Linked DNA regions of Xenopus tropicalis. The protein of the gene in region 2 purifies or fractionates together with the protein of the main gene of each other region. This does not show direct contact. Links are inferred from orthologs where the notes say so. Each region holds a gene or a part of one and is shown on either strand. Other genes may lie near its edges.

Region 1 (3,557 bases), on a different chromosome or scaffold from region 2:
AAATGAGGAAATTGTACCATGGGAGTAGCTTCACTGTACTACATATCTATTGGATAGCAAATATCACTACAAAATCACTTTGCTCCAGTGGGTTTGGGCTTTATGACTCCTAAACCAACATAATTGAAGTAGAGTAAGGTCCTTTCAGAAGGCACAAGGGATCCACTATGTTTAAGAAAAAGGAGGTTCCATCCTAAAACTCCAAAAAGGGTTTGCTACAGTGAAAGATGTGAAGTTGTGGAATCCTCTCCTTAAGGATACATCTGATAGGGATGGGTGGCCTTTTAACAATGGGTAAAACACAGAGACACTGAAATGAACTTCGTACAAAGTTAATCCAGGGACTGGTCTGATTGCCCCTTGGAGTCCGTCAGAAATCTATTAAATAAGAGATGGCTTTGGATGTTTTTTCACCTTTCTCTAAATCATGCAGCTTTTACCGGGACACAGAGTTGAACTTGTTGTATGTATGTATGTATGTATGTATGTATGTATGTATGTATGTATGTAAGCAATGCCAAAGTCACTACTGATATATCACTGGAAATGTAAAGTTAAACGGTTCTGGCCCTATTTTAACTGCGTTCAACATTGGTGCTTTGGAACATAAAAAGAGCACTCTAGTAAACTCATACCTGCAGACCCTAAATGCCTATGAGTTAGCCAATTGTGATTAATCAGTCTAAGTACTAATCAAGCTAACCATAAACTGGAAGCCTCACAAGCCCAAGGAGGAGTACAGATTTCAAATCTAGTCTGTGAATTAAGAGGAGTAAAAATAAAAAGCCAACAACTGCACAAAGGGCACTGAAAAACATGGCCAGCCGTGCACAATAAGGGTTAATATTTCTACAGCTAAAAGGAAATATGTTAAATCATTGCTGCCAATCAAATGTAGGGAACCTGATACTCCTTTAATATCAGACAATATATAGAAACAGCATGTCAGCACTACAAATACACACATATATGAGGATAGTATACACAGGTAATATTACAGTACAATAGTTACCATCCCACCCACAACCCGGCCCCCCTCCCATCCCCCAACAACTGAAATACACTCGGGGCAAAGTACAGGGAACTGACTAAGGAAGGGAACCCCTTTTCTTGGGTTGTCAATTATAAACCAGGGCCCGATTTACTAAGCAGCACTAATTCCTTCATGTAAAAGAGTTGAATCACATACTGTAAAAACAGGCAGAGGACTCTGTTTATCTGGATGGACAATAATGTTTAGTAGTTACAGCCAATAAGGTACTGGAGGATAATGAGGATCTTCTGGCTTACATCACAGACAGGAAGGTGAGCCAATAAGTTCAGATGTATAAAAACCGGAGGCCTTGAGGAGCAGAAGATCCTGTAGGAAAGGGGTAGGAAGAGTGGGCTAGAAGGGTAGGGAATAAATACAGTTACACTCGCAGGATCTCCAGGCAGTTGTTGTAACAAATGGCAATCCAGTCAGGCTGGGTGCTTGCCCACTGCACATTGTTGATTTCTCCCTCTGCTGTGTATGCCAATATGGGATCCTCAATCGCTCTTGGCATCTGCTGAATATCCCAGATTAGGGCCTGGTGATCATCCGCTGCAAAGGGAACAAGGCCCATTAGTGTTAGTTAGGGTGCCACTGGGGTCTGTCACATGACTGGATATCACATAAGTAACAGGACACCAGTCACTTTAACTCTACAGCTAATTTATAACTATTACTGGCACATAAAATAACAATAATCAAACTCACATTGGGGACACCTGGGACAATATATTGGTGGCCAGGGCACTTTTAAATTCAGGGCTGGATTTATAATTTGTGCCACACTAAGCCACTAAGCCAGAGACTGGCAGTAATAACAATTAGTGGCCATATATTGTCTCTCCTTAAGCTTTGCCCTCTAGGGTCCTGGTTTTGCACAATTCCAGGCCTGTGTGTGCACTGCAAAGTGCTATAGGGCAACATTATATACCCCTACCAACACTTGGGTAATATATGCAGTAAAGCCTAAGCAAGATGCTCACCTGCAGTACAGATGTGGCAAGATGAATGGGGTGCCCATGCAATGCCATTGACACAAGCACGGTGGTTGTTAAGTCTGGCTACTGGGGTACAGGGTACTCGTACATCCAAGATTACCACCTAAAAAAAAAAAAAAAAAAGAATAAAAATATGATATGCATTTGTAAGAACAGAAAATGCCCTCTGGGCATACCCCACCCTGTACTGCTCCTTTACACCTTTATGTAATACAATGGCACACACCAGATTGACTGTACGTATCACCAGGCTGCTGGTCAAATATAACGATGCAGCAGCTCTCTGTGCCAATCTGTGTTTAACAGAATCATTAATATTACCTCCATTCCATCCATGGCCATGGTTGCCAGATAGTTCGGATCCTGCTTGTTCCAACACAGTCGAAGTAATGGATGATGTTGGGGGTCTTCATAGATGATTGTACTGTGCTCCAGGTGGCGCAAGTCAAACATTCGCACAGAGCCATCTGCCCCCACAGAGGCAAACATGTCTCTGCCCCCTCCTGCACGGCTGAATGCAATGTCATAGACCTGTCACACACAGGGGAGGGGAAAGAAAATACTTTTATATTCATATGGGTTAAAAAAACCTAACTCATTCATACTGCACTGGGTTCAGTTGGAAGGGTTGAACTTGACGGACTTTGGATTTTTTCAACCCTGTGTAACTATAACTGCACAACCTGCAGGACCCATCACCGTGTACACTGGAAAACAATGACAAGACATTTAGGACTTCCTCTGAACCTTTCCTAGTTTAATTTATTAATGCCCCATCTTTTGCTGCCTGAATAATGCTCTAATGTAATTTATTCCCATCTCCAATTGGTGCTGTAAAAATGACACCACTTGGGTGTGTCCAAGATGGCGACCAAACCAGATGCATAAAGTGAGAGCTCTGTGTATCGATTGATCTCTTTGGCAGTTCTCTTCACTCCACACTCCATTTACTACTCACTCACAGTTTGCCAGCAACCACTGGAATGCAGTACTAAAAGCCAACATGGGCAAACATTTTCCATGTATGAGATCAGAGGCTACGCCCTCACTCACCCAGCCAGGTTCCCGCTGGACAAAAGCTTCTGCCAGACATTAACGCCAGAACCACCAGGCCCCCCTCCCAACCAAGAGCCTAGCGAGCCCACAATGGGGGACTTATTGGAAGCTATAAAAGAAACTAGAGCAGCCACTACCTCACAAATAGAAGGGATTAAGATCAACTTGTCCCTCCTGCGCCCGGACCTCTAATACATGAGAGGCCGCACTGCTGCTGTGGAAACTCAGGTCTCCCGAGGATACAATTAACCCCATACACAACACCATGCCATCAGTAACAGCAAATCTAAGCACTAATGGACAAAACAAAGACCTGGAGAATAGACTTAGGATGAGCAAGATCAGAATAGTGGGGCTCCCGAAAGGGTGGAGGGACAGCAGCCAGAGGCATTTATTTGCAAATGGCTATAGGATGTAGTGGAAGCAGATACATTCTCCTCACTATTCGTGGTGAAAAGAGCCCATCAAGT
Region 2 (4,774 bases):
AGTAATTTACCTGCAGTATTTAATAATTGATGCCTAGAAAGGAAAATGTATTTGTGTTTCATTATAATTGAACTTTTGAAGGTACATTTATTGATACTTGGAACAGACCAAGTACGTTCATTATAAGCCATCATTTTAAAATGATTTAAGAGCAATAAAGCATTGCAGCAGGAAAGCAGATAGCAATTATTTGCAGAGTCACTCTGCAGAAAGACTGGCACAGTTTGCCTGGTTCTGCACAAGAAGCTACTTTATAATACAACTAGGCAGATATAGCAAATTATAGGTTCCTTAGACAAAAGATGTATATATAAAACATATATTGATGAAACCTTATGTTTTCCCATTTTGTCCTTTAACATGCTGGGCCAAATCTGGATGATCTGATTGTTTGGTTTGTGGGCCAGTGATCATCCTAAGAGGGGCCTAGAGAGACCTGTTGGGAGAGGGACCGTATTACATGTGAACTTCATCCAACAGAATTTTCAATAGATATAGATCTTAGCATATAGGTCAGGAAGGTCCAAAAAAAGGACCAATAAGCTGCCGACTTGGTCTGGAGAGGACAAGTCGGCATCTTTAAATATTAGTAAAAAAATTAGGCGTATTAGGCAATTTGTCTAAACTGTTTCTGTTCAACTTAGAAAACATTACGGGCCATGCTGGTGTACACTCCCTGCCATACAATTACAGAAAGAAAGAAGCTGCAGCGACTTCTCAATCCAGTGGTGGAGACTATTCTTGTAAAATGCGCAGATGCCAACAGGTATGCCTGATGAGTACAGTTTTATATGCTGTAAAATGTATACTGAGGCAATGTGGGGCAGGCAGAGGTGTTTTACAGTGACATGACAACTGGTGGCCAAGGGGAAGTTGTCATACAGTTTGTTGTTGTACCTCTGCTTCTTACAACTTGGTAGTTTTCTTTGGTTAGGAGCTAGTAAAATTCATGTTCCATCATGTAAGGACTGGTACTTTATTAAACAGTGACATTTCCTTTGTTATAGCCGCACAAGTCAGCTTTCAGTGTCAACCTTGTTGGAACTATGCAAAGGACAAGCTGGAGAGTTGGCAGTTGGAAGAGAAATACTCAAATCTGGTAAGCTTCTGTTTTTATAAACATAATAATTGCTTTTGGGACTTGACATACAGCATTTCAAATAAGAAATTAGCCAGCAAAGCAAATTGTAACTGTTTCTCTATCCATCCCCAATGATGATAAAAATATATTTTTTTTATGTAATGAATAATGTACCCTCTATTCTAAAATAAAATATTATAAATCTCCAAGGAGTTCCATGACCATAATAAAATACTTGTTTCAACAACTGGAGTTTCACTCAAGGTATAGCTTTTAATCCTAGGTGTCTGTTCCTGTGCCCTGTCCCAGGTACCACAATGATAAAGGGTAACTGCTCAAAACATGTAGTGTCTAGTAAAAGAGGTGACTTCTAATATCTTAATATTTTTAAAAAATGGGGTACATTATTATAATACACAAGTTTTAGTGAGTCATGTGACAGAAATTACATCACTAAGCACCAATATTCATATATTATCTCGACCACAGGCGACTGGACAGCATTTAAATTGTCATTTTGTTTTTGCAGGGTCCATCGGCATTGGTGGGGTGGATTATGTCTTGCATTGTATTCTAGCAACGCAAGCAGAGCCCAATAACTGGCAGTCACTACTTGGCCGCCTTTGTCTGATCGACAGACTTTTATTGGAGTTTCCTGCTGAATTTTATCCTCACATCATCAGTGGAGACCTCACACAGGCAGATGCAGTCGTTGACAGGTAATAAGCACACGTGTATCTCTTCTGCCACCCTTGGGTTGAGCTGTGCATTCCACTGTTATAAATGCAAGTTCCATGGCAATTCACTAAGGCTGTCAGCAGCACTACGTACATGTGAGCCCAGTTATCTGGTCCTTCTCGTTGATTTGAAGATAGTGCTTGTAAGGTTCACAGTTTGACTTGTAACCTAAGGCACACAAGCCAGATTTCCAGACTACTCCTCTGTAGATAAAGCAGGGATGTATCAAATCCGCTAATTTAGGATACTGCCGAACCCAGAATCCTTTGTGAAAGATTCGGCCAAATACCGAACCGAATCCTGGAGTCAGTGCATCCCTAAAATAAAGTAGGCCAATCTGGTTAATAGCCAACCAAAGTGGACATGCTGCTGTGTTTGCACTGAAACAAGCAGATATCCATTTGTAATCTACATAAAATTAAGATGATACTTTGTACAGAGTCACAAGTATGTGCTGTCATGGCATCCATCTACATGTGCTCCCTATAAGAAATGAGGGACATGTTTATGTACCAGTTAAGGTCTGCAGTGCAACATATATTACAGGGACATGATGTAATATAGAGCAATGATTATGGATTTTATAGGTTAAAGCACACAAGAATAAACATTAGTAATGATTTTTTAATTAATTTTATTTTTAAAGTGTATTTTTTTTTAATAATAATAGTTTGCACTTTTTAATATGTATTCATTTTTTCCCCCTAGATATAAAAGCCTGTTGTCCCTGCTGAATTTTGCCTTGCAGTCTATTGATAACTCTCATTCCATGGTGGGAAAACTATCCCGGAGAGTATTTTTAAGCGCAGCAAGAATGGTTGCAAGAGTGCCCCAAGTGTTCGTCAAGCTGCTGGATATGTTAAGTGTAACTAGCTCTACACATTACATTCGTATGCGGCGCCGGCTAATGGCCATAGCTGAAGAGATGGATATTGTTGAAGTAATCCAGCAGGACGTAGAAGATTCTCAAGCAATGGAAAACCGCAGAGAGGCATTTGTTCAGCCATCTGCCCCAGCCAATACCCCATCAACCTCACAAAGCAATTCTCCGGATAATACTGTACAGCTGTCAGGTAAAGTGGCAAAAGAAGCGTGTGACTCAAAGTCTGCCTCAAGTCCCGAAGACTTACGCGAGGCACTGGAAGTAATGTCATTGGCGTACCCTTCCTCTTCCGCCACAGCCGAGCAACCAAAGCCTGCCATTCTAACAAAACGTAGACCACACAGTCAATGCTTGAATTCCCCGTCTTCCAGTCATCCCCATTCCTTTTTCCCTACTTTACCTTCACCTTCTTCTACTCCTCCTGTGCCAGCTGGTCCTGTCACAGATGCTACAAAGCCAAGGTCTCAGGGTTTCACCCCATGTAAACTCTCTTCAGCTTCCCCTCAAACTCAGAGGAAATTTTCCCTTCAAATACAAAAGCACTATTCAGGCAGTAAAGAGCCAGAAAAACTTTCTCCAGTTTTTACTCAAGCAAGACCTCTGCCATCTCCTCAAATACACAGGCCAAAGCCTTCACGACCTACCCCAGGGGACCCCGGGAAGCCTGGAGAAGCTCAGAAGGGCAGCTTGACTCTTGACCTGAATGTTTCTCCTTACGATAACTGTGGCAGTAACGTCAGTGCTGTCATTCCAAGCGATGATACGGTTTTCACACCTGTAGAGGAGAAGTGCAGACTGGATGCAAATACAGAGCTCAATTCCAGCATGGAGGATCTGCTGGAAGCTTCGATGCCTGCATGTGATAGTACTGTCACCTTTAAGTCGGAAGTTGCTGTGCTTTCTTCTGAGCGTGCAGAGACTGACAACACATACAAAGATGATGTCAATCACAATCAGAAATGCAAGGAGAAAATGGAAGCTGAGGAGGAAGAGGCTCTGGCTATTGTTTTGGCAATGTCGGCATCTCAGGATGCACTGCCAGTCATACCCCAGCTGCAAGTTCAAAATGGGGAAGACATCATCATTATTCAGCAGGATGTAAGTTTGGAAGAGCTTTGTTGTGTGTGTTAATGGTGCTTTGCTTTGTTAGCCTACAGAATAAAAGTATTGAACCTCTTCAGTGCTCTACAGGTCTTAAACAACATGTCAACCCCAAAAAAAAGGTTTTGTCTAATACAACATAATTCTAAGCAATATTTCAATATCAATTTATTTAATATTTTCAGCGCTATTGAAAGCAGCATTTGCTGAACTCCTGGTTGCAAAGGTCAGTCTCCTCCTGCCAAAACCATCAGGGCAGGGAATAGCAAAGGACAGACAAACACTGCTTCTAATAGCAATTATATATACAAATAAGTCAAAAACCATTACAAATTTGTCATCATTGTGCAGTGCAAAGTTGCTTAGGATTTTGTTTTCTTTTATTAGGCAAAAATTTATATTCTGGCTTGACTTTTAACATTTAGGTTTGCTTTTAGTTAGCAAGAAGAGGGTCAGATAGATACAGATTACTGGTATTGTTTAGTCCATATAGTTATAGTTAGTTCTTGGCCCTTTAGGCCTGCAGTTTGACAGAAAATTATATGAAATCCAAATTTCTGAATAGGGCCCCCTTTACCCCCTGTATCTAGCAGCGTTTGCATGTAATCTTTGTTTTATCTATCAATACTTCTATTGTGTAGCGCTACTGAATAAGTTGCTGCTTTATTAAAAGAAAGATTTACCCCCTTTTTAACGTTGGTTCAATGAATAGAGCTTGTGCTTATCCTATGTTTGGCCAATTATTTTTTTTACAAAATATCTATGGTTTTTGTTATTTCATGCTGTAAACAGGGCAACATTTGAAAATGAAACTTAGAGATACTGTCATGGGAAAACACATTTTTTTCAAAGCGCATCAGTTAATAGAGCTTCTCCAGCAGAATCCTGCATTGAAATCTGTTTTTCAAAAACACAAACAGATTTTTTTTTATATTTAGTTTTGAAATTTCACATGGGGCCAGCCATATTCT

What was found. Proteins that work in one complex are often made in the same cells at the same time.
Region 1: the proteins of map3k1 (region 2) and dcaf7 purify together in Homo sapiens (affinity purification with mass spectrometry; 3 studies listed by BioGRID and IntAct, with this or other methods). This does not show direct contact. The link is inferred for Xenopus tropicalis from reciprocal best matches to the Homo sapiens genes MAP3K1 and DCAF7.

Annotation. Positions count from the first base shown.
Region 1 is NC_030686.2:16,432,300-16,435,856, forward strand, and holds the end of dcaf7 (DDB1- and CUL4-associated factor 7), read right to left. Parts: intron 2,563-3,557; coding exon 2,353-2,562; intron 2,135-2,352; coding exon 2,017-2,134; intron 1,586-2,016; coding exon 1,413-1,585; 3' UTR 896-1,412; downstream 1-895. UniProt on the Homo sapiens protein: Involved in craniofacial development. Acts upstream of the EDN1 pathway and is required for formation of the upper jaw equivalent, the palatoquadrate. The activity required for EDN1 pathway function differs between the first and second arches.
Region 2 is NC_030677.2:190,919,812-190,924,585, reverse strand, and holds part of map3k1 (mitogen-activated protein kinase kinase kinase 1), read left to right. Parts: intron 1-644; coding exon 645-766; intron 767-1,007; coding exon 1,008-1,099; intron 1,100-1,610; coding exon 1,611-1,800; intron 1,801-2,527; coding exon 2,528-3,800; intron 3,801-4,774. UniProt on the Homo sapiens protein: Component of a protein kinase signal transduction cascade. Activates the ERK and JNK kinase pathways by phosphorylation of MAP2K1 and MAP2K4. May phosphorylate the MAPK8/JNK1 kinase.